2 linked regions of the Mytilus edulis genome follow. The protein of the gene in region 1 interacts with the protein of each later gene in a biochemical or structural test. Links are inferred from orthologs where the notes say so. Each region holds a gene or a part of one and is shown on either strand. Other genes may lie near its edges.

Region 1 (8,879 bases):
AATTACTTTATATTGCTATAAATAGCATAACCATATTGGATATTAACAGCAAAAGTTATTTTATTGTCACAATCTAATAACTACCCAAAATATTTCATCGAACGCGGTTTTGATCTCATGAATATTATTGACGGCTAGCCTCATGAATATTAACGCCGGCTAGATCCACACTAGTGCCCATTTCGACAATACATGTCTCTTCAGTGATGCTCGTGGCCAAAATATTTGAAATCCAAAGCTTACATAAAAGATGAAGAGCTATAATCCAAAAGGTCCAAAAAGTATAGCCAAATCCGTGAAAGGAATCAGAGCTTTGCACGAGGGAGATACATTCCTTTCTTAACTTGCACGTATTTTTAATAGGGTTTTATACACAAATGGTGTTATCGGGTGTATTCGCCGTTTTTCTCTCCTGAAAATCAATGTGTAACGCTGTAACATTGAGATTCAGGAAACGCTTACTCTGAATCAATGTTAAAATCAGCACACCCCGCTAAAATATAATTGTTAGTCGGGCTTAAGAGGGGACAAAGATCAGTGCGCCATAACCCAGTGGCGGATCCAGAACTTTTTGTAAGAGGGCGCTGACTGACCCAAAGAGGGGGGCGCTCCAGTTATGCTTCAGTGATTCCCTATATAATCAACCATTTTTTTTACAACGAAAGCACCCCCCTCTTGGATCCGCCTATGTTTGCCTGACGGCTCATTTTATGTAAAATACTGATAAAGGATATTTCCTTATGAAATCTGAAATCCTCTGTGAAGGTGTTAATAACTTTTACATTGTACTATCTCTTTTTCAAAAATTATCAAAATAAAACAAAAAAGTTCTGAAAATAGATTTTTATTTACAAATTAATAGTTATCAAAGGTACCAGGATTATAATTTAATACGCCAGACGTGCGTTAAAACCGAGGTTCTGATACAAAGCTTGGTTCCGAAATAAACCAATACTAACTGCAGCGAATCACTGGCATATGAAGACTGGATTTGACTAGTTGGTGATCATGCTATATGATAATTCGAATTTGCCATCGCCCCTGTGTCGTATGGTGTTAATTAAAAAACATTGAAAACTATCTACGAATTAGTAAAAGTTGAATTTCTGACGCAAAACACAGTTCTTAAATAAATCAGTATATTCCTGTGACGCACTATCATGCGAAGACTGGATTTGACCACTTGACCAGACCCTTCCAGGTGACAATTCGACTTGTTGTCTCAGCTGTGTCGTACGGTGTTAATTGATTAACATTGAAATACACAAATAAACGTTATAGTCTACAGGTGGTCCGATGACTAGAAAATCGTTCCATCTGGAAAAAAGTATGTTCCTGAAAATCTGAAATCAATCGTTTCCCAGAACTACGCTGAAACAAAAAAAATCTGAGAGACAACGTTTCTTGTTATTTTTTCGACAAAATTCATAAGAAATCTTCATGTCAATATACTGTCTTCAACATTAGATAGGGGTTTATATTACAAGAAGGAAAATAGCGCACAACGGACAATAGAGAAAACTTTTTTTTTTAAAAGCAGCCTAATCATCACTTTAAGGCCGAGAGAAAGTCGGTTTAACATGCAAATAATGTCCTTTTTGGAGAGAATAAAATCGGCGGATCTCTAGGCCTGGTACTCCAGCTTCCTCTGCCAACTAAAAACTGGCAGCCATGATAAAGACAAGAATGGTTAAGCTGATCTGAATCACTTTCAGTGGCGGATCCCAAAGTCATTCTTCAGGGATTCCCTATTAAATCAACCCCTAGATCCGCCTATGACCTTATAAACAATCTATCAACCAAGCATGTTTTCGATACCTTCACAAAACTAATTTGGTATATAAATCCGAATCATTTTTTCCAAAACCTTACTATTTACCATCAATGAAAGAATTTTGAAAAAAAAATAATAATCTAATTCAAATCTTAGTAGGACGTGGGTTTTCGAAGCTATTTCTCAGTAATTTTTTTCCCAGCTAAGCATTATTAGTTTTTCATAGGTTCGTATGCACCACTATTCCTCACAACCTGGTCAAAAATAATATTGGTAAACTAATTGGAGGAAGGAAGCAGGTCTTGAATACATCCGTTGTTATAATTTCTTTAGACATAAAAGAAATAAAATGCATTGTTCTTGGAAATCCGCAGACATGATCAAGGCTTAAAATGTATTGCTTGACAGTATGTTTGTTAGTTATGGGAATAATATATGTCATCAAAATATCCGAATTCCTATGGGTACTAACTGCGCAGTACAAATCTATTTGACGATCTGTTTTTATATTTCCGTCGATCTTCTTCCTTATATACCAGAAGAACTTAAAATTATAGTTTTTACATTTTTTTTTTTAAACTAATGAAAAAAAACGTCGTGATAAACTAAATAATACAGTTAAAATGATGGGTAGCTTTTTCATTAGATGTGGGTCTGAATGGGGTCCTTCATATCTATATTCTTTAATTTTTGATACCATTTATTTCTATATGCTTTATTTTTTTTTAGAGCATTTTTTCTATATTCTTTAATTTTTTAGACCAATTTTTCTCTACTTTCTTTAATTAGATTGTCCATTATTCTCGATATTCTTAATATTTTAGCACACCATTATTCCCTAATCTTTTTAATTTTACATTTCTTAATTTCTCTTGTCTTTTATTTTACACTGTTTGTCAAATATTTGGTTAACACTGTTCAGATCTTCTTCAATAGATGGGCTGACGATTTTAAACACTTAAAGCCTCTCATAAATACTGCCGATTTACTTCAATTGTAGATGATGATGATGATAGATGGATAGTTAATGTCCAGTGGCAAATTAAATGCAAATTGAGGACAGGAACATGCATGTTAATGCGATGATTTGAATACAAATATTAAAATATGAAACTGTGGTATGATCGTCAATGAGAAAAGTCTCAACAAGAGACCAAATTACATACAGTTTCACAACTATAGGTCATCGTTCGGCCTTCAACAATGAACAAAACATTGTCAGCGATAAAAGGTCCCAAAATAACAATAGTAAAACAATTCAAACGAGAAAACTAACGGCCTGATTTGTGAACAAAATAATGCATGAAAGACCAATGCGATATAAACTCAACTTTTAACAAGAATAATAAAATGAGTTGGATTGTTAATGTGCTCGTTCACATTAGACAAATTAATCCACCTGGACATTTTTTCAACAGCTTTTTGGCAAGAATCTTGCTCTTAAATGACACATGCTTAGTGGATGAGCAGAATATAACAATTCTTAAGTTTATGGTTGACCGAATCAATGTACCTAAAGGCGAACTTGCTAGGTACAAGGAGACCACCGAGCCGGTGCTTTCAGTTAATTGTATGATGATAATTCATCAAACCTGTTAGGAGTGTGTCTTCCTCGTACGAGTATTCAACAAACACAGTGAAGGGGTGCTATTTCCCAAGTGTCCCTTTTTTCATACAACATTTCTAAACGCTACACAAAAAGTTAAAATTAATAAAAAAAAATAAAAATGACAATGGTTATAGGAGCAGCATTTAATAACTTGAGTACCCAAGTCAATTATATTGTCTTTTCATATACCCATATAATATGATCAATGTGACATGTAAAGCAAATCAAGATTCTAGAAGCACAACATTAAAGCATCTTAAAGCTCCTCTTTTTTCTTTTAATTATGGGCATACGTCTTATGACATGCGCGGATCGTGACATTTTGAAAAATAAACAGGTTTTAAACACCATAAAATATCACGTTATTAAAAAAAAAATATGAAAAAGGACCCCTTCCCCTCCTTCTTTCTGGATCCACCAATCAATAATATCTATCCAGATAAATGTTCTTCATTCAAAATTAAGCCATGAAGTCGAAATCTTATATTCGTAATCGACGGTTTGAAGCATGATTATGTTTTTTACCCCCCAAAAAAACCCTAATATATGCCATAACGTGTCAAAATTATATTCAACGGTGACGTCAGTACAAACTAGCTTGCTTATTAATATACCGTACTTTAGAGGCATATTAAAAACACGTCTCCTCGTGTCTATAACGGATAGAACCTCGAGAGGAACAAAAAACATCTGTTTCGACGGTATTTCAATTCAGAAATTCAAAATGAGATAGTTTTTACACATGTTACAAAATTACCGCATCTTTAGAAAGGGACATAACCTCTCACATCTGCTGTAGAAACACGACCAGGCAACAAAATGTATACACACATGCAGTGTTTAAAAACATGTCAATATTATTAAAATGATCCGTAAAATACATGATATCTCTAATAAATATACGAATAAAAAGACTATATGCTGGTTATACGAGACAGCAACCCAAAAACAAAGAATAACAAAATACATAAGATAGAAAACACAAGTATATGGTCCTCAACGGCACAAGCGGCAGTGGGAATGTCCTCGTTTTTTTAAACTGTTTTAAAACATAAATTCAAGTAAACGTTTTTAAATTTCTATATGATTTTCACAGATCCAATGTGTTCATTCTCTTATCCATACCATATTCCAATAAGAGCAATAAAAGTAGTTTATTTATTTAACGTCACTCTAGGACAAAAAAATATATAAAAAAGGGGGATCGATCCCAAACGCCTGTACATTTTTTTTATACGGGGGGAAAAGGGGGGGGGGGGGGGGGAGTTGGATGTAAGATGATTTTATTCCGTGTTATTTAATAAAGAAAAAAATTGAAGGAAAAAATATAAACAGAATGGCTGTGAAAAAAATAGCACTTTTGATGGCATTGTATATTTCGAAAAAAAAAAAAGAAAAAAAAATGTTCAACATTGATTTTCAATCTTGGTTTTTGTATGTTATCAAAAAGCTAAAAGAAAAAAATTGTCTTATTAAAAAAAAATTAGAAAATGTTATCCCATTTGTCAGTATAATGTTGTGTTAATTTTAATCATATTGATACTTAATTTCAATTTCTAAAAAAATCATATTGATACTTAAGTTCAATTCTAAAAACAAACAATTTTAGTTCAAACTTGTTGAAAAAATCCCATAAACTTTTCTGTTGGTGAAAACTTAATAAAGTAAACCATTAAAACTATAGAAGTAATCAGTAGCATTGATTATTCAACAGTCGCGGAATTTCCAATATCTCTATTTTGAAACAGACTATAGTTGATTCTGCAGACGTATGACGTCAGCGCGGACATATAGTCGAGACGACTTTAATGTCAATTTACCAAAGCGCCAGACGGTCGAACGATCAATGACCATTTTAATACACCTTTATTTCATCTTGAGATGATTCATAATTAACATTCATATAATCCGTTATATATCAATAAATTGAAAACTAAACTGTATTCTAATTATCTGGTTGCAAAACAAGTTTTAAGCGCAAGATATGCATATAAATATGCATACAAGTCATTGAAGTGGGAAGTCAACGGATCGGCAGACCGTGTTATGTATAATCAACAATGTCTATTGTTTTTGTATATTAAAAAGCTTCGACTATCCTTAAAATATTGACAGATGTTAAACATCATAAAATAAAGAAATTATTCTCTACAGTTGTTCCTTATAATATCGACCTTTATTGAACTTTATAACTACTATCGCGTAATCGTAGTAGTAGGACTGATTAACGGAACAGCCAAGTATTTCAGTTTGTTATCAACTGCCGACAGTGGGGAGACGTTAGACGTATGTGTGTATTGCTTGAACTAAGTAACGGAGAGGAACGTTAAACGGAATTTTATTTCGAATGTGACAATTATTTAATGGAACATCTTAGATCACAAGTTGTTAACCCTCATGTAGAGAGGGTTATCAAAAACTTTCAAACATCAGCCATGCGGAGTTTACAAGGCCCTGGTCCCGCTGGATTTCTTTCACCAAGTGACATTGAGGAATACCGTAAAGCACTTAAAAAACTTCCGGAAAAGGGTTTGGAGTACGACCCTCTAAGAGGACCTCCGCCCTTCCCAGTGCAACAATTTCCAGTATTTGCACCCGTGGATGCTACTAAAAGTGAAAAAACGGATACATTGTTAGAAACCGAAACCATTGCTTGTTTTGAAGTTGGAGGTGAAAAAAGGTTGTGTTTACCACAGATTCTAAATACGGTTCTGAGGGATTTTAGTTTACAGCAAATAAATGCTGTGTGTGACGAACTTCATATTTTTTGTTCACGGTGTAATCCTGAACAGCTTCATACATTAAAAATGACAGGGATTCTTCCATTAGGGGCACCGAGTTGTGGACTTCTTACAAAAACTGACGCTGAAAGATTGTGCAATGCACTACTTCATAGGGCACCTGCTAAATGTTCTGAGCCCCCTACACGGGACAGCTTTAAAGTTTATCATGAATGTTTCGGGAAATGTAAAGGGATCTTTAGTCCTGAGATGTATGTGGAACCCATTGCCAAATGTATTCAGTGTGTTGACTGTATGGGCTCATTTTCACCAAGTGAATTTGTTCGTCATTCTCATAAAGCGCTGGAAAACAGAACTTGTCATTGGGGATTTGATTCATCACATTGGAGATCTTATTTATTGTTGGCTAAAGATCAAGAAAACCGTGATCGAGTGAAAGAAGTATTGCAGTACATGAAGTCAAGATTCGATACTTCAAAGAAATATAAACGAAAGCAGGTTAGTTATTTGAATTTTAAGATACTGATCAATCTAGTCTTTACGCTTAACCACAAGTCCTACGTAAAATGTAAAATGTAAAATTCTTCTCTTCAAGCCAACATAATCCAACTTAAATTCTCAAAAAATTGTGCTTCAGGTGTGTGGACTCAAAACTTTCAAAGGTTTATCATGAATGCTGTCAATCGTTATTTATGAAACGGGGAATCCAAATCTGACAGTAGTTTTGTCAAATCTGTTTAAATTTCACTAAACGTCGTAAACATTGATTTCTTAAAACTACATGTACATTATTTATAACTACTACTACTGTAGTAACATACTGTTTGTTTAGTAGTTTTAAACCATCTGTCTCAGCTGTTGCAGATTTTTTGATTTAATTACATGTAATATTTTCTTTGGATCCCGGATATATTTTTTAGTTAAACTTGTGTTTTTCAAAAAGAACAATTGAAAAGCACTTACAATGTACATATACATCTATTCTAAAGAATTCCCAATACACCAAGTCAGTCTTCTCAAAAATCCTTAAAATCATCTTTGAGTTGATATAGCTTATGGTTTTCCTGGTATCTTTTTAGCGAAAATTTTAATGGTGGGATATGTACATGTAGGCTTGTTAATAAAAAAGACTGTGGTCCCATGTTTTACAAACTCTACTCTCAAAAAGTCTCATATTTATCACAATTATTCAAAAATCAATGTTGAAAAGAAAACTTAAAATAAAATTTAAATACATGTGAATTTATTTGAAGATTGATAAATTTTAAATTTAAAGATAATATGTATGTTTGATAGTAAGCTACATGTACATGGTATCAGGTCCGTTCGCGCCCAATACACTTTCGCATCCTACATGTTCGCACCTCGCACGTTCGCACCCAAGGTCCGTTCGCACCCAATTTAAAATCAAGTTCCAGTTGAATAATTAGAAAATCATGATTGTTGTTTTAAATTGCCTTGGTGTAAATAATGCAATTATTTAGCTTCGTATGAGTAAAACATTGAAAATTTTAAATGAAAAACACAAAAGATAATTTTTTTTAACAGATTGGTCCCTTTGATCTGAAACAATTAAATAAAAAATTATAGCAATACACTAACCAAAATTGATTAATATTTAAGATTTATTCCACCCGAAAATCCCGGTCGTCAGAATCTCACTTTATTTAAATGATTAAAAATATTTTAACAATACACTATCCGGCAAAACAAGATTAAGATTTATTCAACACAAAAAACACGTTGTCTCACTTTATTTTGAGACAATGACAACAAATATACTAATATGAATACACTTGCCAAAACTTGGTTATAAAGTTATCAAACACAATACCAATAAAACTTGGGCGCGAACGTGTTGGGTGCGAAAGTGAAAGGGCGCGAACGTGATCGGGTGCGAACGTGAATGGGCGCGAACGGACCCAGATTCCATGTACATGTAGGTGTATGGCATTGATTTACGATATGATTGAATATATTTACATGTTTTGACACTTTTTAATTTTTTTTTAAACAAATTATATGTAGACCAACACTAAAAAATATTTGTGGTTTGAATGTGTTTCCTTATTGAAGCATTATTTTTATGCCTCAAAATGTCTACCCTTGGCCTTAAATCATAATTGCCACTTTAATTTTTTTTAAACAAATTACATGTAGACCAACAGTAAAAAATATTTGTGGTTTGAATGTGTTTCCTTGTTGAAGCATTATTTTTATGCCTCAAAATGTCTACCCTTGGCCTTAAATTATAATTGCCACTTTAATACATGTATGGTAGATCAGTCACTACAAAATTACAGGTATCAGAATGATACTTAAATTTTGTAAAGTACAAATGTAAAAATAAAAAAGAATTTGTACCTATATACCCTATATATAGTGACAGTGTCAGTGTACAAGGTTATCTCAAGGATGAAACACACATACTTTTTTTTGTACTATATATAAGTATAATGACTTATGTATTATGTAACTTTTCTATGATGATATACAGCAAACATTGTAATGAACTGTGTACTTTGGTAATGCTCATGTTGCACATACATGACATAATCATAGATTAGGACTATGTATATATTTAATACACAATGTATTCAAGGTTCTATTAATTAAAAGATTGTGAATCTGTGATAAATTGATTTATTTATTTTTGAATACACACGAAAGTTATTTTTTCCACCTGTGGATTGCCTAATAAACAAAACTGTGACTTACAAATCTACATGTATGAAATTTATGTCTTTCATTAAAA
Region 2 (9,133 bases), on another chromosome or scaffold:
GGATATGAGGTTTTGAATGGGGTTAAATGATTAAAGAATAATGCCCTTAGAAAATGAAGATTAGAGAATAACGGGCAAAAAATGAAGATTAGAGAAATGCGTGGACTAATTTTTTTAAAATTAGAGAAAAAGGGGTTAATTTTTTGAAGATAAGAGAAAAAAGGGGTGAAAATTAAATGTTTACAGAATAACAGACCCCCCCCCCCCCCCATCCAGACAATCGGATATGGTAATCTAAAGGTGTTGTACGAAGTTGAAGTGCATGTTTCTGGCTGTCATCTTTATATAATGTCCCACAAAGGCAAGAATAACAAATAGAAACTAGAATTGCCATTGCAATAGAGGCCGGATGTCACCCTGGTCTGCAAATTGACACTTAACAGCAGCCATTTCGAAATTGTCCATCAGTGAATGCAGATTTTTGCATGACAACAGATATTTCTGTTTTAAATTCCAATGAATTTGGAGCATTTTGATATTTTTTGTGTTTTTGCTGTTTCCATGGTAACGGCCGCCATTTTAAAAATTCCAAAGTCAAACTACTGCTGCATATTGTTCTCTCTGCACGTCGTGTAGCTGGAATATATATACACACATGTACATAAAATGAGAGACAAAGGATACCAAAGGGACATGCATTCATTCCACATTGCTAAAAAGAAAGAAAAACATACAATACACAAAACACAACATATTAAACTAACTGAGACTGAGTAACAGGAACCACATCAAAAACTGTCTTGTTGCTCATGTTAGTACAAAACCGCTAATTATTAAGTCTGCATCGGTAGATCACATAGAACACTGATATAGCAGTCTCAGGGTGCACAAACTGATATTTGAAGCAACGATCATCAAAGTCCCAATGCAAGTATTGCTAAGCGCTGTCATACCTTCATGACATGTGGTATTTTCCTCACAAATAAGCCTGACATGAATTGCTTGGTTTGAATTCCTGATAACATAACTTGTGGATAAGTGTACTGATTTTATGACATCGTACCACAATTAAGGTTCCATACCACAAAAGGAAGATCGGCATTGATGATTTTCTTGACTGTTTAGGGATTAAGGTCCAAAGCGGGTCCACAAAAAAATTAAAACAAACATAACTCTTGTTTAAGGACAATAACTTGTGTAATGAAAGCAAATAAGAAACCCGTCGGCCCGATTTATAATACGTCGATATATATATATGGCATGCAGAAATCAAACGCAAACAGTGAATTACTGCCCCTGACTTTAGAGAGGCAAAAATAGAATGCAGCTGGATACAACAAAATTCGTTTTGTGTTCATGGTTGTGTTTCGTGATTTATGATCTCTACCGTGTCAAAACCTATGCAACTGTTTTGTTTTTACAGTTTACTCTGATGTTGTGTTTCCACACAATTGTTAACTGTCCAAGGATAAGGACCGGGTGCCAGGGTCCTCCACCATATTACGTACATGAGGGTACATATGTTTACCTCCCCATGCCCGCTACAGTTATATCTGCTTAGAGCAATAAAAACACATATATTGCCATGGCACGTTTACTTCAAAGAGACAGATTACATCACATGATAAATATGCATCATTATACAAAGGTACACAACTCTCACGTTTAAACTACAAAACACATACGACCATACATATACTTGATAACAAGGGTTAGTATAAGCTTAATGAACATGCAGTATGGGGTTTGTTCATCGTTTCAGGCGGTAGTAGTGTGACCTATAGCTATTGTTGCGTAGATCAACGTCAAGTTTGATTCTGGTGTTGTTGTTTTTTTAATTTGGAAAAATCCTGATTATTTGAACACGTGCAATCGGATATATAGTTATCAAAGGTACCAGGATTATAATTTAGTACGCCAGACGCGCGTTTCGTCTACATAAGACTCATCAGTGACGATCATATCAAAATATTTAAAAAGCCAAACAAGTACAAAGTTGAAGAGCATTGAAGATCCAAAATTCCAAAAAGTTGTGCCAAATACGGTTAAGGTAATTTATGCCTGGGATGAGAAAATCCTTAGTTTTTCGAAAAATTCAAAGATTTGTAATCAGGAAAAACACTCTTATCTTCATTTCTTTAGTCTTGTAATTTTTATGTAATTTTTCTATATTCTAATACACATTGACCATTTTTCTCTACTCTTTATATTATTACACTTTTTTCATTTCTTTATTTTTTGGCCCCTTTTTTCTCTTTTCCTAATATCTTGGTCCATGATTTTTTTCTGTAGATTTTGCCAGCCATTATCCGCTATCCTGTTAACCCATGTAGACTTTCATATATTTTCAACGTTTTTTTTTTTAACGAGATTTATTTTGTCACGTGCAAAGATTCATGGGATTAATCGGATGTGTGATAAAAAATCTGCTAAATGTGCGAAAATATCATTTATTCAGATATCAGTACTTCCCTATCAATTTTTAAACTATTGCTCTTGAAGAGGAACAATGAGATTGGATTTGAATTTTACATTCTTGTACTGAGTAATTGAATGGCTGCGGTAACAGACTGGCTTTAATTTGGTAAGGCTTTATTAAAAATATACATTATACATTGTAGTATAATATAGATATGTCTATGTACTCGTACGTCATGAAAGGTCATGTATACCAAAGTAGGGCTTGATCAAATGAATTTGCGACACTTTGGAACATTATATAAACCATATATATCATGTATATAGCCTTAATGAAGACTTTTTGAAAGTATTTATATTATATATACTTGCGGATGCATATCCTGGACTCAGAAAATAGTGTGTGTGTGGGGGGGGGGGGAGGGGGTCGTAAAGCAGGCAATTTTAGAAGAAGGACATGTAAATATGTAAATGGCCTATGCATTAACCTCATATGTAGCCGGCTCCATAAGTAGTGGGCTACATTATCACATCCCATACAGAGACGGATTTAGGGGGAGGGCAGGGGAACCCCCCTTTTTTGAGAAAATGTTTGGTTGCTTATATAGGGAATCACTGAAGCGTGACTGGAGCGGCCCCCCCTCTTAGGCAGTCAGTGGGCCCCCACTTATAAATATTTCTGGATCCGCCACTGCCCTTAATCCGCTTGAAAATTATATTATACGAGTTTCTTATACAGTTTGTTCCTAATTTTGTCATTTTTTTTTAATTTAAGGGAGACGGATTTTTTCTTGTTTTCGAATGCCACTGCCCAGTATCTCTATTTTGTATAATTATATTTCGTGCAGTTTATGAAAAATAAAATATTGTTTAAACTAAATCCGCTTATAATTTACTAAAAACGACTAGCAAGAATAAATAGTACCTCCTTTTCAACCATGGTCGATGGTGGTTATGATTTGCCTTCACATCCCACCTTACTATTTTTTCCGTTAATATATCAATTAACGGGCGGCGGACTCTGAATATATGATAGTTCATACTATCGTTACTACAATCCCGTACCCTTTTCAAGAAGGTCACCCTCCGTATTAATTCTTACTGTGTTTGTATTAACATGAGCAACACGACGGCTGCCACATGTGGAATAGGATCTGCTAAATTACCCTTCCGGAGAAGCTGAGATCACCTAAGTTTTGGTTGGGTTCGTGTTGCTAGATGCGTTATAGTTCTCTATGTTGTGTTTTGTTTTCTATTGTTTGTCTTCTGTTCTCTTTGTCGAGCCTTCGACAACTGTCGAAAAAGCGAAACATGAAGCGAACCTACATTCCGTCGTCGGCGTTGTCGTCGTCGAGTCACATATTCACGGTGTGCATGGTTAGCGGTTTTTGAAATTTTAATAACTTTCTTAAACTATCCTGGATTTCTACCGAACTTGTGGATAGACTTTGTTAATATTCATAACACAGTATCCAAAAGTAAATTCTGTAAAAAAAATCATCCTATTTTGAATTCCGTATTTTACTTATAGATAGACTTAGTTTTTCTGCCAGGAAACATTACATTCACTCTGTGGTTAATGTTTTTAAAATTTTAATACTTTCTTAAACTATCCTGGATTTGTACCAAACTTGAACAGAAACTTGTTTATGATCAAATGCTAGTATCTAGAAGGAAATTTGGTTAAAATTTTGTTCTTGTTAAAAATGTTTTTCCATACTTTACTTAAAAATGGACTTAGTTTTTCTTCCATTTTACATTACATAGTCTGCAGTTAAAGTTTTAAAAACATTTATTAGATTCACAAACTATATATATATAGATTTCCTTGATTTTTACCAAACTTGAACAGAACTCTTACAATTAAAAGATAGACTAAAATATCTAGAGGAAAACAGTTTTTCGAATTTTTTGTTGAACTTGCGACTACCAGCAAAAGTAGGCGAGACACTGGGTTCGACGGAACCCTTAAAAATTAGAAAATTAGTTAAGGGTTAAATTGAAGTTCCTATTAATACAACGATTCAATAAGGTCGAATTATCGAGTTATACTTGCAAGTGAATCAGTCAATATTTCTTTAGTGATTGAACAAAACTGAAAAAAAATCACATATTTTAGTGTTAATTGTTTTTTTTAATACTATCATCGTATATATCATGTATCTTATTATTTTGCCAATTTGAACCATACTGGTAGAAGCGAAATATTATTTCACTATTTAACTTTCATTAGTGATTGAACAAAACTGAAAAAAATCACATATTTTAGTGTTAATTGTTTTTTTTAATACTATCATCGTATATATCATGTATATATCGTAGCAAGTGCATGCTCCTTTAAGATCCTTTAACTGTTTAATGTCAGTTTGGTATATTTTATGACTTTATTCTTTATACTTTTGCTTTTAATATTGCAATGCTATTTTTGTATTGTGTATGATAAATGACTTTAAAAATATTTGTACATGTTTAACTTTTGGTTTGAACCATTGGAGGAATTGATTATAAATATAAAAAAAATAATGGCCCCCTTTCTCTCTGCAATGTGCCCCTTCGAATAAACAATTTAAAACGGAAGTAAACTTAACGACATCAGCGAATATTTGTAAATGGTTTGGTTTGAATAATTCGAGGAAGCGATTAAAAATATACGATGAAAATGATGCCCCCCATTTCCCCTGCAAGGTGCCCCTTCAAATAACAACAAATTAAAACGGAAGTAAACTTAACGACATCAGCGCAGGCGTATTAGTTTATTTTGATTTTACTCGCGCCATGAAAAAATAAATAAATTAAGCATGAATTAAAAATGATGACTTAACAATTGATCGTTGCTCGGGTAAGTAATCAATAATAACCTGATGTTAATGAGGAGATAATTTCCACACCTGAAGTTTCATTGATTAAGTAAAATGGAGCCGGCAAATGGCCTCCAGAAGCTGGCACCAGTCTGTCTGGCTATGACATAGTATGCTGGGAGTGGGGACATGATTAACATACGAGGCCATATTTTTTTTTATTTTTTAATTTTTGTATTAAGTCTGCTGTTCTTTGTTCTTACTTGTTCAGGTGTAAACAAAGCATGCACATGGCATAGATTTGATGCATAGTTTATTTGGAAATTATTATCTGCTTGTTGATTATTCTGAAAGTATAAATAAAGAATTGTATAAAAAAATAAATTAATTAAAATAAATATTGATGGATTCAAAGGAATAAAAATTTATTAAAAAAATATTTGAGGAACAAGTGGTAATTGAAAAGAAATATGAATTATCAAAAATAAACAAACATGTTTTAAACTTTTAAAAGTTTTATTGTTATTTAATTATATGTCTGTATTTTTCTGTTACATGTAAAACCAATTGATAAGACAGTAACCCTTTACAGTCATGATACTTAGTACCATCTTGTAGGACCGAGTGCGGAAGAAATCTTTTTACCCAAGAACGATACCAGACTTCATTGCCCTACCTCATACTGCCACCAATGCAGGTAGTCTTGAATGCTTCAAGACTTCCCTACATAAGATGAACTAGAACAAATCCAAGATGTTTTTAAATTCACTGTATATATGATGTACATGTATCATGTGTATAGCAAAAATTCAAATCAACTAATACTTATTTCTTGTCTAAATTTTAAATGTGCATCCAAAAGTGGCAAAATAATTAACTTATTGATGGTAGCAGCGTATTTGTAGAAGTAGTGGACAACTTTTAAATGCATGAGATTTCTGACATGCTTCTGCTATCCCAGTGTTATGGACCAATAACTCTAGAGGTCCTTTCTATATTTTATCGTTGGCTTCAATCTACATGTATAATACACCTTAAATATTGCTCAGGTTATGAAATTAGCAGCAATGGCCCCTAAAATTTGGTTTGGGCTACTCAAATTTCGGCTTTTCTTATATATGACTATCTATGTTGGCTACAACATTTAAGCTGTGGACTATCATTGCCAAAGTCTTTAAGTTTTAACCCTGTAATGCTACATGTATTTGTCCACCAATACCAAACATCACAAAAGTTCCATAAAAATTTTGACATCACAATTATACCTGTAGGTGACCATAGTGACCATACTGCTTTCAACACTAGGTAAACCCATACCATATTCTATCATGAAAGCCCTGAAATGACAACTGTAAAACAATTCAAATAAGAAAACTAACAGCCTGATTTATATACACAAAATAATGAACGAAAAACAATAAAAAAACAAATGTGATATTTGTGAGGCATAAATTTAAAACAAATGACAGCTTCTGATTTTCTTTTATAACTTTCAGACTAAGGAACATCGATAAACCCCATGGGGTCCTAGGCTCCAACATCAGCTGATGCCTGTTTTAGTATTGTTCACAGCCGAATGTGCCATACATGAATAGAGCTTATGTTTGTCCCTTTGAATAATAAATATACTGCCTCTTGGTAAAGCTTTTTCATTTATTATTTATAATAATTCTCTTAAAATCAGAGCCAGTGTACTGTTATCTTGCTAAGAAATCAGTTGAAAAAAATATTTGCCTTTCTTTGGTACAAAAATGTTCCTACATTGTACCCTATTTTTTTTCAGCATTAAATTCATGCCTAAAAATCATGTAGAGTTAGAAAAATTACCAAATCTAACTTTCTTTTATAACTTTCAGACTAAGGAACATAGTTAAACCCCATTACCACCATGGGGTCCCAGGCTCCAACATCAGCCGATGCCTGTTTAAGTATTGTTCACAGCCTAATGTGCCATAGGCAAGGAGGAGAGAGTGAAAGCTTTGCCAAACGGGCCATTGAAAGCTTGGTGAAAAAACTGAAAGAGAAAAGGGATGAATTGGACAGTTTGATCACAGCTATTACAACCAATGGTGCACATCCTTCTAAATGTGTGACAATCCAGCGGACATTAGATGGGAGACTTCAGGTATAAAATTTGTAAACATACATTTGTACATATACATGTACATGAAAAAGGTTATTTATGTATTATTGTCATTTTGTTTATTTTCTTTAGTTACATCTTCTGACATCAGACTTGAACTTCTCTTGAACTGAATTTTAATGTGTGTATTTTTATGTGTTTACTTTTCTGCATTGGCTAGAGGTATAAGGGGAGGGTTAAGATCTCATAAACATGTTTAACCCCACCACATTTTTGCGCCTGTCCCAAGTCAGGAGCCTCTGGCCTTTGTTAGTCTTGTATTATTTTTATGCAGTTAAGCTGCATTATGCGAGCACCCTAGATTTGTGTTCTACCCAATAAATGCTGAAATACTTGCCATTGTCATTATCTAGCTTGCTACTAGTACTATGTTATATATAACTAATTGAACACTTTTTTAATACTTTTTATTCTGGATTACAAAAAATATGACTAGAAAAACCTTAAATGATCGTCGATTTATCTAAAAGTTTTGAAGTTACACATAGGAAGTAGTGCTTATCAAGAATCCTTGTGTAGTTCATTATGACTTGTGCTTTTGGCCAGATGTCAAAGAACAATTGTATGAAATATTTAATCGCCGAAAATATCTTAAGACAAGCAGTTTAGATTTCCCAAATGGCAAAAGTCGTAGGAATATTGTTTGTCATCAATACGTCAGTAGTCTATTATATAATAAGTTCAACTGTTCGTGCTGTTTGCGGCAATTTCAAATTAGAAAAAGAAATTTTCGTATCTTTTTAATTTGGAGGCAGGTGTGCAAATTAGCGGTGGTCCGAGGTCCGCGACCTTCCACTTTTGCAAGCGGAATTTCGACTAGGATAGTTAGTTTCTAGGTACGCCCGACGTAGTCGCCTTCCACTTGAAAGAAAATAAGAATTAACTTTGCAAACCTTTTCACCATGTTCACCAGTCTCCAATTGAACGAGCTAAAAACTTATTTTTGTCATTATTCATAACAGCGATGTTCATTTTGTTCAACCGCTAGATTTATACAGAAAATCGCCGACAAATATTGTATAAATTCGAGTAAAATCGTATCTGATTGACGAAAACAACATTGTAAACACATAACAATGGCGGCCGTGAAGACAAAATTTTACAATATCGGATCCGATTCCGGAAGTGGATAAGGGTAATTCCGGGTTTGGCGATCAATTACAAAATAAATCCAAACAGGTGAAAAAATACATCTATGCATGGTAAATGAATATAAACACTTGAATTGTAAATCAAAAGATATATGTAAAAGAAAGAAAAAGCACCTGGGAATAGTATATCTAAGAATATACATGTTCATGTTCACAGTCTAAATCAGTCATAAATGATGATAATGCATGTGAGATGCTTTTTTAAAAAGTGTAAACATATTACTGCAATTTCGAAGGATTATTTTTTTCCCTCAATTTTGAAGGGTCAATTAAAGTAGCTGAAAGTTTCTTTCTTTATTTTCACAAATAATGCAACTATATTATATATACCTGAATGTAAGTAAATCATAAGATATATAGGTGGCATCCTTTGGGCCACTCTACCCCTTCCTGTTTAATAACTTGGAAACGGTCGAGCTCCCCACCCCTAAACCATATGAGGAACAGATCCAGGATTTTAGGTTAGGAGGGGCGCAAACATAAATTTTCTCCGAGCAGAGTGAGGCTAAAAAATTTGAGGTAAAATTATCGGAAAATTCTTTATTAAGCTGAGAACAACCCATGCTTTGCAAATTTAAGGGCGGTGCACGTCCGCCCCCCTCTGACTGAATCCGCCCCTGCATATATTCAAGTAAAGGACAATATAATAAATAAAATGAAATATAGGGGGAGTCCCTGGAGTT

The links.
Region 2: the proteins of ski oncogene-like (region 1) and mothers against decapentaplegic homolog 4-like form a complex in vitro, tested with the Homo sapiens proteins (3 studies listed by BioGRID and IntAct, with this or other methods). The link is inferred for Mytilus edulis from reciprocal best matches to the Homo sapiens genes SKI and SMAD4.

What each region holds. Positions count from the first base shown.
Region 1 is NC_092356.1:29,700,613-29,709,491, forward strand, and holds the start of ski oncogene-like, read left to right. Parts: upstream 1-5,201; 5' UTR 5,202-5,746; coding exon 5,747-6,622; intron 6,623-8,879. UniProt on the Homo sapiens protein: May play a role in terminal differentiation of skeletal muscle cells but not in the determination of cells to the myogenic lineage. Functions as a repressor of TGF-beta signaling.
Region 2 is NC_092354.1:20,862,436-20,871,568, reverse strand, and holds the start of mothers against decapentaplegic homolog 4-like, read left to right. Parts: upstream 1-5,085; 5' UTR 5,086-5,197; intron 5,198-7,012; 5' UTR 7,013-7,044; coding exon 7,045-7,281; intron 7,282-9,133. UniProt on the Homo sapiens protein: In muscle physiology, plays a central role in the balance between atrophy and hypertrophy. When recruited by MSTN, promotes atrophy response via phosphorylated SMAD2/4.